3 linked regions of the Macaca fascicularis genome follow. The main gene of each other region encodes a partner of the protein of the gene in region 3 in a complex. Links are inferred from orthologs where the notes say so. Each region holds a gene or a part of one and is shown on either strand. Other genes may lie near its edges.

Evidence for each region. The genes of interacting proteins can lie anywhere in the genome.
Region 1: the proteins of PPP2R5C (region 3) and CRYBG1 are in contact, whole or in part, in a crystal structure (PDB 6VRO), measured with the Homo sapiens proteins. The link is inferred for Macaca fascicularis from reciprocal best matches to the Homo sapiens genes PPP2R5C and CRYBG1. Residues at the interface, in NP_002710.2 of Homo sapiens: Lys183, Thr184, His187, Tyr190, Gly191, Leu194, Arg197, Ala198, Arg201, Glu226, Ile227, Ser230, Ile231, Asn233, Gly234, Phe235, Ala236, Lys240, Glu242, His243, Pro265, Gln266, Tyr269; in NP_001358171.1 of Homo sapiens: Pro1136, Phe1138, Ala1139, Met1140, Pro1141, Pro1142, Ile1143, His1144, Glu1145, Asp1146, His1147, Glu1149.
Region 2: the proteins of PPP2R5C (region 3) and PPME1 are in contact, whole or in part, in a cryo-EM structure (PDB 7SOY), measured with the Homo sapiens proteins. The link is inferred for Macaca fascicularis from reciprocal best matches to the Homo sapiens genes PPP2R5C and PPME1. Residues at the interface, in NP_002710.2 of Homo sapiens: Asp180, His187, Arg188, Tyr190, Gly191, Leu194, Arg197, Ser230, Ile231, Gly234, Phe235, Ala236, Lys240, His243, Asp313, Gln341, Tyr348, Glu353, Tyr354, Glu399; in NP_057231.1 of Homo sapiens: Arg37, Lys38, Arg39, Asn192, Lys217, Val251, Glu252, Gly253, Ile254, Ile255, Glu256, Glu257, Pro345, Gln346.

Annotation. Positions count from the first base shown.
Region 1 is NC_088378.1:68,855,192-68,860,141, reverse strand, and holds the start of CRYBG1 (beta/gamma crystallin domain-containing protein 1), read left to right. Parts: upstream 1-1,654; 5' UTR 1,655-1,845; coding exon 1,846-2,018; intron 2,019-4,950. UniProt on the Homo sapiens protein: May function as suppressor of malignant melanoma. It may exert its effects through interactions with the cytoskeleton.
Region 2 is NC_088388.1:73,043,083-73,047,914, forward strand, and holds the start of PPME1 (protein phosphatase methylesterase 1), read left to right. Parts: upstream 1-1,536; 5' UTR 1,537-1,705; coding exon 1,706-1,806; intron 1,807-4,832. Other genes in the region: C2CD3 (C2 domain-containing protein 3), read right to left, coding at 1,023-1,077. UniProt on the Homo sapiens protein: Demethylates proteins that have been reversibly carboxymethylated. Demethylates PPP2CB (in vitro) and PPP2CA. Binding to PPP2CA displaces the manganese ion and inactivates the enzyme.
Region 3 is NC_088381.1:169,857,718-169,862,861, reverse strand, and holds the start of PPP2R5C (serine/threonine-protein phosphatase 2A 56 kDa regulatory subunit gamma isoform), read right to left. Parts: upstream 3,259-5,144; 5' UTR 3,089-3,258; coding exon 3,062-3,088; intron 2,067-3,061; coding exon 2,001-2,066; intron 1-2,000.

The sequences.
Region 1 (4,950 bases), on a different chromosome or scaffold from region 3:
TTACCGACTGATATTGAGCAAAGCAAACCAGAAACAGAGTACATATTGTGATTTTCCACTAAAATGAAGTTCCAGAAAAGATCAAATTAATCTCCAGCAAAAGAGGACGAAATAGTTTTTAACTTTTACAGGTGGGAGGGGTAATGTACTAGAAGAGGACAGTAGGGAGATTTCTAAAGTTTTGAAAGTATTCTATGTTTTTATAATCATATATATTTACTTATTATTATTATTATTATTAGAGAAATAATCTCATTCTGTTGCCCAGGCTGGAGTGCAGTGGCACCATCTCGACTCACTCCAACCTCTGCCTCCTGGGTTCAAGCGATTTTCGTATCTCAGCCTCCCAAGTACCTGGGATTACAGGCTTGCCTCTGCCACCACGCCCAGCTAATTTCTTTTTGTATTTTTAGTAGAGAAGGGGTTTCACCATGTTGGCCAGGTTGATCTCGAACTCCTGACCTCAAGTGATCTGCCTGCCTCAGCTTCCCAAAGTGCTGGGATTACAGGCATGAGCCACCGCTCCCGGCCTATAATCATATATTTAAAAGCCACATACAGAATAATTTTCTAGGACAATGTGAACTCTCCTTTAAAAAACTTTTTATACCCCAACCACATAAATATGTAAAAATTTGAGTTTTACCCTTATGATTTGTTCACTTTACTGTCTATAAATTACATCTTGATAAGAATGTAAATAAAAACTAATAAAAATGAATGTTCTGTGAATGAGAGAATAAACGAATGAATGAGTTGTGTTTTTCAAGAGGAAAATAAAGACTTATTACCATGAAAGAGGATCTTGTACTGTATTGAATTTTTAAGTAGTACTTAGTTCTTGCACTTTTTTTGCTCTAATGATACCCAAAATGATTGTTCGTTTACTTACTTTGCTTAAGTATTAATTTCCTTTGCTATTTAGCCACGACTGTGAAGTTAAGACAAGAAAGTCATCAACAGTAATGCAGATGATGTAAATACCTTGTGGGACTGGCATTTAATTTACTGCGAGGGATCTATTAAGCCCTTTGGGAATTAGGGAATATGCCTAATTCCCTTCTGGCGTTTTTAATTTTTTAAATCCTTTTGTGTTTTATGAGATGTGAGTACAAATTAATTATTCAGGCTCTTGAGAGAGGAGAGGAGTTGGCAGAGTTGCCACCCGGTTCACGAACAGGAACAGAAGCCACCAGCACATGACATTGCCCAAGTCACCCAGAGATCAGAGTGGAAGAGTCCTAATTACTGGGCGGCCCGCCCCCGGGATGTGCCTCTCCCATCCCTCTCCAGGCGGGGCTCGTGGCTAAGCAGCGACTCATCCTACCAGCCTGTCAGAGGCCAAGAGCAGCCAACAACTCCGCAGGCGACAATGGCCGCTGCACCCCAGGCGCTGTCAAAGCCGGACCGGCTCTGGGTCCCAGCTTAGAGCCTGGGATGCAGTGTCGGGAGACGCGGTGCCCAGAGCATCCAGTAGGTGTCGCTGTCCCGCGGCCGCCGCGCGCCCCGGGGGTGGGGAGCCGGGGCGTGTCTGCCTCACCTGGGGCTCCCGGCTCGCGCGCCTCACCTGGACTCGCGCCCCTTGCCGCCCGCGCAGCGAGGGGGCGCTCTCCCGCGGCTGGGTCCCCTCCTCCGCCCCAAGAGCTCGGGCTGCAGTGCTGCTCGCGCTGCGCGTGGTGCTAGTTCTGCAACCCGCTGCCGTCCCCCGCATCCGCGACGAGGGGGCGGGGTCCCACGGCGCGCTGGGAAAGTCTGGGGCGCTGGCGCCCAGGTGTGTTCTTCCACAGGGCCCGGGCGGCAGAGAGGATCGCGTCCCGGCAGTCGCAGCGGGAGGAGGACAAGACGATGCCGCTGTCCCCGCCAGCCCAGGGCGACCCCGGGGAGCCCAGCCAGTGCAGGCCCCCTAAGAAGCATACCACCTTCCACCTCTGGCGCTCCAAAAAGAAGCAGCAGCCGGCGCCGCCTGACTGTGGGGTGTTCGTTCCGCACCCGCTCCCGGCGCCTGCCGGGGAGGCCAGGTGAGCTCCTCGCCCGAGCCCGCCAGTCCCAGCTCCTTCTCCTCCTCCCGCTGCTCTGGCCCTTCGGCTCCTGACCCCACTTGGAGGAGGGGAAAGCCCCGGGGTCTGTTTCACTCTGCAGGTTTACCTGGGTCCGGAGGGGAGCGATCGTAGCCGCTGGTGGTGACCAAGTTCCTCGTGGCTTTTGGCTCAGACCAAGCACCGGCGAGAGGAACTTGTGCCCACCCATGTGGCCTTTAGTATGACTGCAAAGTCTTCATGCAGGAGCCTCCTGCATCAGCCTGCTAACCAGAGCGGCGGGGAGTGAGGGTTGTTACCGTCGGAAGTGATAGTGGGAACTCTTCTTTGGGGTTAGGCACTACTTTTGAGCTAGTGCCTTTATCGTAAAGCTCTTTATTGTGAATATCTGTCAGATCTGTGCTCTTACAGATGTTTTACCCCCATTCTCCTCGCAAGATGCGAAGGGAGGAGGAAGTGGCAGGAATGGTTACCCCCATTTCATGGGTGAAGGGACTGAGAGCAAAGGATAAATGGCTTCTCCCCATTGGAGCCAGTGGCAGAGCTAGGGAGCGTCTAGTTATCCAAACTGTAGTTACCGTTGTACTTTTTAATTTTTATCATGGTTTTGAAGTGGTTTTATTTTATATGTATAATTATTCAACTGCACCATCAGAGTTTATGCATTCGTTGAATAATAACCAATTTGAAGTAACAGCGTGTTTACATGGCTCAGAGGTGTGAAATATTTATAGTGATGGACAGTTGACAATGTCCAGTAAATCCTTCTACATGTGTTTTTAAAATACGCCTTATGAACAATGAGGGCCAGAATAAAATTGTACAGGATTTGCATTTTAAACATATTTTTCCTTTTATATCTTTTCTTTTCTTTTTTTTTTTTTTCTTTGAGACGGAGTCTTGCTCTGTCGCCCAGGCTGGAGTGCAGTCGCACCATCTTGGCTCACTGCAAGCTCCGCCTCCCGGATTCATGCCATTCTCCTGCCTCAGCCTCCCCAGTAACTGGGACTACAGGCGCCCGCCACCACGCCCGGCTAATTTGTTGTATTTTTAGTAGAAACGTGATTTCACCGTGTTAGCCAGGATGGTCTCGATCTCCTGACTTTGTGATCCGCCCGCCTCGGCCTCCCAAAGTGTTGGGATTACAGGCGTGAGCCACCGGGCCCGGCCCCTCCTTTTATTTCTTAAAAAAAAAAAGTCAAATTTACAATCTATTTTCATTCACTTACTGTATTGAGTACCTTAGCTAAGTGCCATGTGCTGCGATATAAAAAACAATGAGAGACAGTAATAATTCTGTCATCAAAGAATTCTTAGTCTCTTGTGGATACCAAAAAGTGCAATGATAGATGCCAGCACAGAGGAGGGGATCTCGGAGGCTTCCTGGAGGAGGATAGGTGAAGTGGCTTAGGCAGAAACAGGGAGGAGCAGCGAGTTCCAGGCAGGGGCGGAACTGTGCACATCACCAGCACTTAGAAGAGTGTGGCACTTCCTGAGAAGCGCAAGTGGTTGAAGCGGGAGGTCTAGGTGTGAGGGGGTAAGGGTAGGAGAGCTAAGAGAGAAGTCATTTTATTTTCCTCTCATATTTTATCATCCACATTGGTAATCTGTTGTAGTAGAAATATATTACTTATGCAAACATTTACTGTGCCTATTTACAGATTATACTTTCTAACAAAATACACTACTTAATAATAATGTACACAGCATTGAAGTTATTTTCTATTACCTCAGTAAATATTTTAAACATTTCCATCGTGGTTTTCCTTTTAAGATCTAGTCTCATGATTTACTGCTTATCAAAACATAATAATATACAGCTATAGGTAATGTATTCAAATGTAAATACATTTTAGTCTAAAATTTAAAATAGGAGATTTACTTCTCTCCTTGAGTTTTTGTATTTTAGTGCAGTCTTGAAACACCTCATTTTTGCCTTCAGAACCCTGATGAACTTTGTATTAATAAATGTGGTCTGTCTTTGGGATGTTTTTCTAGTTAGATCATCTTTATAAATATTTCATTTACTTCTAAGAGAGTGTACTTCTTTCTGGCTTAAAGATAGTGGCAAAAGCACCCTTAGATTTCTAGCCAGTCTTTGCCCAGTGTGTCTCTCTGGAGCCTCCTGACTATATCGGTTCATTTCTGTCCAGTACTTGGAAGTGATGGAATTTGGCTGGAATGTGCAGCACTCACTGTGGTTTTTGTCTCTAAATAAGGAGGGGACAGTCAGGCAACCACCCCTATTTGCTTATTTGATTAATATTATGGGTGTTTAGGTCAGATAGAAATGAATTTATCTAATTATTGAATTAATAACTCAAGTTATTTCACCTCTTAAACTCTCACTTTCCTCATCTGTAATATGGAGACAATAGGATGCTGACTCTGTAGGGTTGTCATGAATATTAAATGAAAGTTTATGTTATTAAGTGCAAAAACTTTAACACGTTTCTGAGCATAAAGTAGAAACTCAGTAAATGCAAAAGCATCCTCGTCGTCATCATCATCATCATCATCATCATTATCATCATCATCAAAGCAAAGGTCTAATGGAAGAAATGGAAAAAATAGGTTTGGATAGGGGAAAATCCAACTCTAGGAAGAGCTTCTTTTCCTCGAAAAGGTTACCAGTCCAGCTGGGCGTGGTGGCTCATGCCTCTAATCCCAATACTTTGGGAGGCCAAGGCAGTCGGATCACCTGAGGTCAGGAGTTTAAGACCAGCTTGGCCAACATAGTGAAACCTCGTCTTTACTAAGAATACAAAAAAATTAGCCGGGCATGGTGGCTCACGCCTGTAATCCCAGGTACTCAGAGGCTGAGGCAAGAGAATCCCTTGAACCCAGGAGATGAAGGTTGTGGTGAGCCGAGATCACGCCATTGTACTCCAGCCTGGGCAAGAAGAGTGAAACT
Region 2 (4,832 bases), on a different chromosome or scaffold from region 3:
AACATGCTTAACTGGTTTGACACAGGGAGCACTAGTATGCTTCAGTCTCAGATCCTCCTATCTTTCGTGGCAGGAAAGTCACTACCTCAAAACTGCCTTAGTAATCTTTAAACAGCTTGGATAAGAGTAATTCCCAGATTGTAGCTTCAGTCCTCAACCTAATGGCCTAATGTCCTATCACTGCTCCAAACCAATACTTCTTTTCTCACTAAACTGCCTACGATGCAAAAAGGCAGGTTCACCCACTGTCCTTTTTCCCTTCGAGGCAGTCTTGTAGAGATTCAATATCCAGTTTCCTGATCTGCCCTCGGTCCCCAGTTTGACTGTTCTCACTGCAGCTAACATCCCCTACTCGGTGAGCCTGTGTCTCCTCGAGGTGTTAACCTGATAAGGACTCTCTGCTGTACACTCTTTCACGATCTCAGGTCCTTCAGGAGAACCTCATGCCCTTACCCCCACTTCAATCCTATCACACTTGTCATTCCCCACTCTTCCCCGCTCTATACTCTACAATTATTTTTTCCCCAACTCCTGCTCATAGCCAGTCCTTCATGCTTCATTCATTCAACAAACATTTACCGAGTCCTGCTTTGTACTAATCCTTGGTCATTCAGTAATGTATAAAACGTGATTCTTGTCCACAATCACACAAGAAATGATATCATCCCTTTGCCAATTTATGTTTCTTCCTGTCCCTGCGGACCTCTAAAGCTACTCGCACACATACATTTCACTTCGTTATCAAAACCAATCCTATTATTGTTTGCTCTTCTCCTCTACAGTCATCCCACCGGTAACCTTCATCTCATTAATCACCACTTTGTGGCCCCTACCCCAGCCCCTAATTCCTTTCTATTCTCTGGAGGGCCAATTGCCCTTCCTTTTAACCTTCTGGTCCCCTGGCTATTTCCCTTCTTACGTCCCTTTTCTTGTTTATCCAGCGGGGGTGGGGGTCTCCCTAAAATTCCTTACACCCTGCTCCCCTGTTAACGCTTTCCTCAATCTTTGATCGCTCGGGTTACCTCTTTTTTTGCGCCCACGGCTGCCCCCAGGCCCTTGGCCTTTACGTTGCTTCATGATGAGCCCGAGCTCTTCTTCATCAGCACAACTCTGTCTCCACCACCTAAGCAGCCGCCTCCCGCCATCCCTCCCCACGGCGCCTGCGTTCCCCGGCAACCGGCGCCGCTGGGCAGCCTGGGAGGCAGGAAAAAGCCACTCTTCCTCTAACAGTCTCCGGAAAACAGTGGGAAGAGAAGGCGCCAAGACGCCTTCCCGCCAATAGACTACAATACCCAGGATGCTTTGCTACAATACCTCTGCGGGGTTGGCTGGGGGCGCCTCCGGCTGCGCAAGCGCATACGGATACGCCCGTTGAGGACTCCATTGCCCAGGGTGCATTGCCCTGAAGACGGCTCCTCTTTCCGGTGAAAGTTGTCGGGTTTCCAGTTGGGAGTCTGCGGAGTTCGCAGACTCTGTTACCCAGCTTCCTTTGTGTGAGGGCTGTTGCGCACTTCCGGTGGAAGTGCTGAAGCGAGTGGGTGGAGTTTGCAGAGCCGGTGGGCGGTAGGCGGTGCTACCGGTAGCTGGGTGCTGTCCAAAGGCGACTGGGCGTCGTTAGGGGAGCGAGTCGTGACCGGTTGGGCCACACTCAACGTGGGACGAAGGTTCGCCTACTGTTTGACTACGTGCGTGCAGCCTTTCCTTGATGTCGGCCCTCGAAAAGAGCATGCACCTCGGCCGCCTTCCCTCTCGCCCACCTCTACCCGGCAGTGGGGGCAGTCAGAGCGGAGCCAAGATGCGAATGGGGTACGTGACCCATACTCCTACCTAGGGGCCAGGCCCCGGCCATTGGAGAATGGTGGCTCTGAGCGTTCAGAGAGGCACGGGGAAGGAGTCTACCGATAGGAGAAAATGTTGGCGGCGGCCTGGAGATATTTAGATGGAGTAGAAGGCAGATTGGGGAACTAGGGGAGGCGCCAAGTCAATAGAAACTGGAGGAAAAATAATGTTGTTGGAGGGAGAGGGGAATGAGGCAAAGGTTGGGGAAGCTGAGAGACTAACATAACTGAGAATCACCTCCAGAATGAAGGAGGTTTAGAAAAAGGTGACAAAGGTGGAGGAAAATCGGCCAGGGAAGGTGGAGGGAAATGGGGAATGACCGAGAGAAAAGTTGAGGGGAATTGAGGCAACAACTAAGAAAAGGTTTGGGAGGAGTGGATATTGTAAAAGTTCTAATATGTATACTGTGAGAACTAGATAGTAGAAAAGCTTAGGGAGTTGGACAGGGTTGGAGAACGAAAGAGGAGCACTAGGAAGCAGACGATTCTAGATAATTCCCAGAGGTCTAAAGACAGTCAGGGAATGAGAGGTGAGATTAGGCCTCTTAAGGGAGAATGAGAAAGTTTGGGGAGTAGGCCTAAGGTAAGGTGGAGAATATAGCCATGAAGATTGTTAAGGGTAATAGGAATGTGCTGAGAAGCTGGACAGGATAAGGGAGAGAGAAGAAGGAGAGGACTGAAGAATTTGCAAAGTGACCATAGGCTCTAAAGATTGAGAAATAACTATAAATGCGGTTTGGTGAATGGAAGTGCTGCAGTTGTAAGGTCTGGGAAGCTTAGAGGAAGATTTGGGCAATCAGTTTTTGCGGGGCTAATAGATCTGAGGGAAGCAATGTACTGGCCTAAGACTTTGAATTAGTGAAGCATTGGGAGTTAGGGAAACAGTTTGCTGGAAAGAGAGGAGAGCCATGTTGAAGAGATAGGCTTTGGAATTTTAGATCATTAAATGGCTTGTGCCAGGTTAGGGGATACTTGGGCCGAGGACAAAGAATGAGGTGAACATGGGATAATTGCTGGAAAGTGGAGACAATTGAATAGGCATTTGGTTTTGAGGGGATATTTGTAGTTTCAGACAGGATTCTGGGAATTAGTGACTGTAAAGAGAAAAGGAGTAGGAAGGATACTTAGGTATGAGGACTCAAGAGTATATTTGGGATTCTAGAGATGAATTGATAAATATTCTTTGAAAAAGGACTACAGAAGAGAAACCTTAGGTTCTGAAGAAGTAATGTGTGTAAAAACTTACCAAAAGAAGCGAGAATAGGAGATGCAGTACTGTGACAGTAAGTCCTAGGGATGAAAAGAAAGGAGAATCCTATAAAACAGTGGGGTAAAGGAATGGGAAGAACAAGTGGAAAAACCAGGGAAGGAAACTAAGAATTGAAGTGGAGACCTGCTGTGATATACAGTAGAAAAAGGAGAAAACCTTAGCAGGGGGAGATAGAGAGATGGACGCACAATAGAGGAGGTAGAAGGCTACATAGAAGGTAAAGTGAAGATTATTTTGACTTTGGAAGATCGAAAAGTTGGACTATAACATGAATAAAGAGAATTTGGAAACTGACCCATAACATTATTTGGGAAAATTAACCTGGAGTTTAATATTAATGTAACATTAATTGTTATATATCTTCATTGCTGCCTTTCTTAAACTACAATTTGATCTTTCAGTATACCAGCACTCTTCTATACAAATACATAAGAAAATCAGATTTTTAATAATTATACATTCTTTAGATAAGTTTAATTAGGGCTCAGCTTCTCATTTTGTCAAAACAAGTTCTCTGAAGATTGAAGAACTGGGTGAAAATACTGAGAGAAAATAAAAGGAAAATCTGCTGATTAGAAGATTGTATAATTGTTAGTAATTCATCGTTTTTATTTTGTATTACTTTTCATTTTATTTTTTTTAGAGACAGGGTCTCGCTGTGTTGCCCAGGCTGGAGTGCAGTGGCACAATCTTGGCTCACTGCAACTTCTACCTCCTGGGTTCAAGTGATTCATGTGCCTCAGCCTCCCAAGTAGCTGGGATTACCGGCGTGCACCACCATGCCCGGCTAATTTTTGTATTTTTAGTAGAGATGGGATTTCACCATGTTGGCCAGGCTGGTCTTGAACTCCTGGCCTCAAGTGATTTGCCCCACTTGGCTTCCCAAAGTACTGGGATTATAGGATTGAGCTACCATGCCTGGACAACTTACCTTTTTAAATAGATGCTTTGGTCTTCTTGGTTTAGGGTAACTGCTTATCCTGGAAAAGAAAGTTCTTTAGAAAGGCCTTTCTGTATGGTAGTATTGTGAAGAAAATTCACAAAAATATGGTAGTATTGGTGAATATTTGTGTGGTCCTCAAATGGCTTATTTTCCCGTATTTTTCTTTTCTACTTTATTGGTACATAAGCAGGCTTCATCTAAGTCTCATGGTAGTAATAATGCAGATTCTCTTTCTCCTTAGAATCATAAAGCTGAAAGAGAGCATAGACATGGATCATTTCACCACTTCATCATGTAGTTGAGGAACTGAATATTCAGAGAGTTCTGTATTCTGTAAGGGAATGTATTAATAAATGAGGGAACTGAGACTCAAATATTCCTAAAGCACCCTAGAAGCTTAGCGGTGGGGCTGTTAAGGACTAGGACTTGGGTCTCTTGACTGTGAGACCCATTGTGTATTTTGAAGTCATAATTGTCATCTGGGAATACTTAATTTGAGTTGTGTATCTTACTCCTTTGCATATAATATAGGATTCAGTCTTTTTCTTCAGTCAGTTGTAATTTATGAAGTCTCACACCAATTTCAAAGCATTCTTTATGTCTCCTTATACTTGCTTTTTTCTTAACTTCTATTCTTCCACTCTATCTGTTACTCACAAGTTAGTCCTGTTCCCTTGATAGTCTCTTGTGTGGCTTACTCTTTCAACTATTTTTCATGAACATTTCACTAAACATTATTTAGGCATGTTTGCATATTCAGGGTGCATATTCTGAGTTGGTG
Region 3 (5,144 bases):
TACAGCCAGGATCTTCCTACTAAAAATAGGAATAAATGAAATATACACACTGATGCTCCTATCCCTAAAGTAAGAGGATATAGGTACGTTAGCAAGAAAGTTATGGGGAGAAGAAATCTTAGCAGTTTTAATGAAAGATCAAAAGACCAAAAAAAAAAAAAAGGCATATCGCATACACCTCCATGAAGCACCTACGTTTCATCTTCATCTAAACGAATTTAGTCAAAAGGGTGACAGGGAAGAAATAAGCAAGTGAAATCCAAGCATGGCATAGTAAACCTCAGTTGTCTGCTATAAAGACAGGGAGGGACAGACTGGCACAAATGATCCTAACTATTGACATTTAAGGAACCTTTTGGATTTCTGCTTTTTGCTTTGGGGAGGGCAACAGATTTGCTGGAATAAACCACCTGCTGAAGAGGAGGGAGGTTCAGAATACACCAAGTGATAGAAAAGAGAGAACGCAGAGCTAAAAAAAAGTCCACTGCAGATCATCGCCAGTTCACTGTGCTTCCCAGACAGAACTGAACTCATTCTAATTTGGCTTACAGGAGGAAGTCTGACACTGGCAAATAAATGTCGTTTGTGATAAGACTGGGACCTCAATGATCCAGCTCTGGAGAAATGACACTCTATTAAGCCAATTATCTGCTACCCATGGATTCAAAAGGACCCATCAGCTCTGCCTGGGTCCACGCAGCTCCTGAACCCTTGGCCCCAGGTGCTCCAGTTCAACAATAAATCACAAGGAAGAAAAGGCAAAGGAAAGTGGTGACTCTGCAAATCCTCTGAAGGCACTTCACGGTGTGAAGGAACAGTATCAACCTTGTTCAAGTAGATGCAGTCCTCACTTGGCATTCCAGCTGTTCCTCAATGAGGCCAAAGCCAAGAGGCAAAGAAATTCACAAGTGGCCAATGCACGCGCGTGCACGCACGCAGGCGCGCACACACACACATACAGAATGTGAACAACAATAACATATCAAAATCAGGTAAATTTTTCAAATACCAACATTACGGGGGAAAGAGGCCAAGGAATCATCAACAGAAATAGGGAGCTAGCCCAGGACGTCAGTAGCAGAGATAGTATGAAGGAAAACAAAGGTGATGGAAGAAAAAGAACCAACCACTGAGTCGCCTGGCAGCTTGCAAAGAAGTGGCGGTGGCGGGGGATGACCCTAAAGCTAAAAGCAACATAGCAACACCCACCATAGACCCCATAACACCAACCTATACAGGAGGGCTGCTGGGTTTGAGGTGTGGGAAATGAACTTAAAAATACCAGTTCCAGGCTGGGCACAGTGGCTCAGGCCTATAATTCCAGCACTTTGGGAGGCTGAGGTGGGCAGGTCACGAGGTCAGGAGTTCAAGACCAGCCTGACCAACATGGTGAAACCCCATCTCTAATAAAAATACAAAAATTAGCCGGGCATGGTGGTGGGCACCTGTAATCCCAGCTACTCAGGAGGCTGAGGCAGGAGAATCGCTTGAACTCAGGAGGCAGAAGTTGCAGTGAGCTGAGATCGAGCCACTGCACTCCAGCCTGGGTGGCAGAGTGAGACTCCATTAAAAAAAAAAAATTAGCTGCATGTGGTGGCATGTGCCTGTGGTCCCAGCTACTTGGGAGGCTGAGGTAAGAGGATCACTTGAGCCTGGGAGGTGAGGGGTAGCAGTGAGCAGAGATTGAGCCACTGCACTCCAGCCTGGGTGACAAAGTGAGACCCAGTCTCAAAAACAAACAAACAAAATACCCCCAAAAGACCCACAAACCAACTCCATAGGCAAGCACAATTTTCATAAAATCATTAATAGTTTTCCAAAGCAAAACAGTAAATACCTAAACAACTAAAATTGAGGGTTATGAAAGACACCACAAAAAAAAAAAAAAACCTCACAGAGAGAAGCATTTTAGAAGATTCTAGGCTTTATCACTCTCAGTTTTTCTACCTTAAGTTAAAAGCTGTGTATGAAATACAAAGTCAATATTTGATGACAGTTACCTCTGATTCTACTGTGTCTTGTCCTTCTTTTGAACTTTTTCCACTCTTTCCTGCTTTTGGTGATTCCTGGTAAACATCAAGCAAAGGCAATTAGTCTTCTCACTTTTTAGACAGGTAAATATCAGATAAGCCAAATGCAGTTTTAAAAGTGATTTATTTATACAACTTAACTAGAGCTTCTGATATTTTTATTTCATCCCATTAGGAAATTCTAAATCACATTGTTTAGGATTCCAACAGTGCAATGCCCCCCACCCCCCATTCAGATTCCTTTCGTTTTATCTGCATTTGAGGTTGAAAACTTCAAGCAGAAAACAGATATATCCAATTTTACACAGTGCTTCTGGCATTTTGAGATCCATATCACATCCCTTTCTTCCTTCCCACCCTAAACCCTATGAGTGAGGATTTCTGGGGTGATAATGAAACGCTACAGAGCTCCACCTGAAGCAGAAACATACCCGCCCCCCTCGAATGCAAACGCAGCACCCTTGCTCGCAGCCCTCACCGCCGCCGCCACCCAGGATAATAATAGTGTTTGAGAGCCTCACAGCGTCCCTCTGGGGCGGCACAGAATTCCTTACCAGCTTTCAGCGGGGTCCCTTCCCGCTCCCTTTCCCCCGTCCAGGGGTCCCTCCCCAGGAGTCTACAGCCCCCATCCCTGAAGCTCCTTTCCGGGAGACTGCGAGGCTGCGAAACCCCTCGGCGGCCGCACCTGCCCGCCCAGGCCCACGGCGCGCTGTCGGGGGCCGGCGCCCCTCCGACCCTCTCCCCGGGCCGCGCCCTCCCTCCACGCTCAACCCCGGCCCGTCACGAAGGTCCCCGCGGCCCGGGCCTGGGCCCCGCGGTTCCGGCGCGATCCCCGGGCTCCCCGCCCCCACCAGGCTTGAGGGCGAGAGAAGCCAGGGGATGCCTGGCCCGGCCGCCCTCGGGGACGGGGAGCCCGCGGTGTCGGGCGGGGAGGCTGAGCCGGGGCCCGGGCGCAGGACCCCGGTGCCGTCGCGCCCTCCCGCGGCAGTCCCTCCCCGCTACCTCCGTCCCGCGGCCGGGCCCGGACTCACTTTCTCCTTCTTGTTTTTATTCGGCATGGCTGGAGCGGGCCACCTCCGCCGCCGCCGCCCCTGCCGCCGCCTGCCCCCGCAGCAGCAGCGCCCCCACCCCGGCCGTCGCGCCCCCGCGGCCGCCGCCGCCGCCGCCGCCGCCGCCGCCCGGGGACTGAGTCGTTCGCTCGCTCTCGCTTCCCCTTTTCCAGGCTCCCAAAGGCTGCGGCAGCCGCGGCGGCGGCGGCGGCGGCGGCGGCAGCGGCGGCGGCGTCTCTCCGCCCCTCCCCCGGCCGGCCCGCCCCGCCCCTCCCCACCCCCGGCCGGCCGCCCCGCCCGCTCGCCTCTCGCCCCGCCCCCGCGCCCGGGCCCGCCCCGCTGCCCTCAACAGCGCCCTGCCATTGGTCGACGCGCCCCCACGTGCCCTAACGCTCCCCGCTCCCCCCACCCTCTCCGCGCGACCCGTTCACACCCGCGCTCTCCGTCGCGAGTCGCCGCGAGCCGGCCTAAGGCAGGCCGCGGCCTCAGGGCACGGGCCTGGCCGCAGAGCAGAGCCGAGCCAAGTCAGGGGAGGGAGCGTGTGGCTGCGATTGCGGTGATAGGGCCGTGGCCCGCTGTGGAGGCGCAAGACAGAGCGTGAGACGTAGGAAATGCACATTTGAAATGTATGGCAACAACTTCTGCAGCCGGCGAGGCGTGAACCGCGGCCTCCTGGCCTCGCCCCCTCACCGCCGCAGGTCTCGCTGCAGTCAAGAGTGCCCCGCACGCTTTGCACTGAGGCGCACAGAGAGGCCCGGGAACCGAGAGAGCGGCTGTTTCGCGGGACCCCGCTAGGCCCCGCCTCCCCTCCCCTCCCTCCCTCTCCTCCCCTCCCTCCCTCTCCTCCCCTCCCTCCCTCTCCTCCCCTCCCTCCCTCTCCTCCCCTCAACCAGTCCCCAACCTCTCCCCTCCCCTCCCCTCCTCTCTCCTCCCCTCAACCAGCCCCCAACCTCTCCCCTCCCGTTCCCTGCCCTCCCCTCCCCTCAACCAGCCCCCAACCCCTCCCCTCCCCTCGACCAGCCCTTCCCCTCGACCGGCCCCTCCCCCCGACCGGCCCCTCCCCTCGACCGGCCCCTCCTCTCGACCGGCTCCTCCCCTCGACCAACCCCTCCCCTCGACCAACCCCTCCCCTCGACCAACCCCTCCCCTCGACCAGCCCCTCCCCTCGACCGGCTCCTCCTCTTGAATAGCCCCTCCCCTCACCAGCTCCACCGTCCGTAGATCCTCCCTCGAGGTCCCGCCCATCCGACAGGCCCGTCCCTCCCTAGTTGGTCCCGCCCTCCGCAGTTTCTCTCGTAAGGTCCCGCCTACCCGACAGCCCCGCCCTTTCCTGGTTGGTCCCGCCCTCCGCAGCTCTTCCGGCGAGGTCCCACCCACCCGACAGCCCCGCCGCTCCCCGTTGGCCCCGCCCTCCGCAGCTCCTTCCGCGAGGTCACGCCCACTCGTGCAGCCCCTCTCCTCCGGCCTCGGCCCCGCCCACCGAGGCCAGGCCTCGAAGACTTGGTGGCCGTTGCGCCAGTAGGATTTTATTTTTATTCTTTAATTTGACTGGATCGTAAATGGTAAGGAAACCTCTGCATGATGACTGGGAGTCACCTGATTTCTCTCCCCTCGTTAATAGCTGTGAGGAGGGGGTGTCCCAGGGAAAAACGTTAACTTTTTAATACAGTACTTCCGCAGTCCACCTCGTTCCCAGAACTATTGGAGACGCTAATGACAGGCGTCCCGGATTGCGGAAATGCATTATGTAGTAAGACTCTAGGAGTGTACGGATTTCACGTGCGAGAGGCATTGGTGCTTCACCTGTGATGATGAAGGAGCTACATCTTAACTGGCAGCTTAAAAATCATCGCGTTCTCTTAGTCCCTGGGGTTTTGTTCTTGGAAGTTGCCAGGCAGAGCATTTTCGATTATTCTCAGTAGTTCTGCAATGGGAAAGCTGAAAGACAGGGGATAAGAAAAAAAAGATCTAAAGTGAGGAATGTTGTGGGAGGTCCAGAAAGTAAGTTGTGTTTGCCGGTGTCTGAATGTCTATGGGCTCTTAGACGAGTATCTGTAGGTAAGCA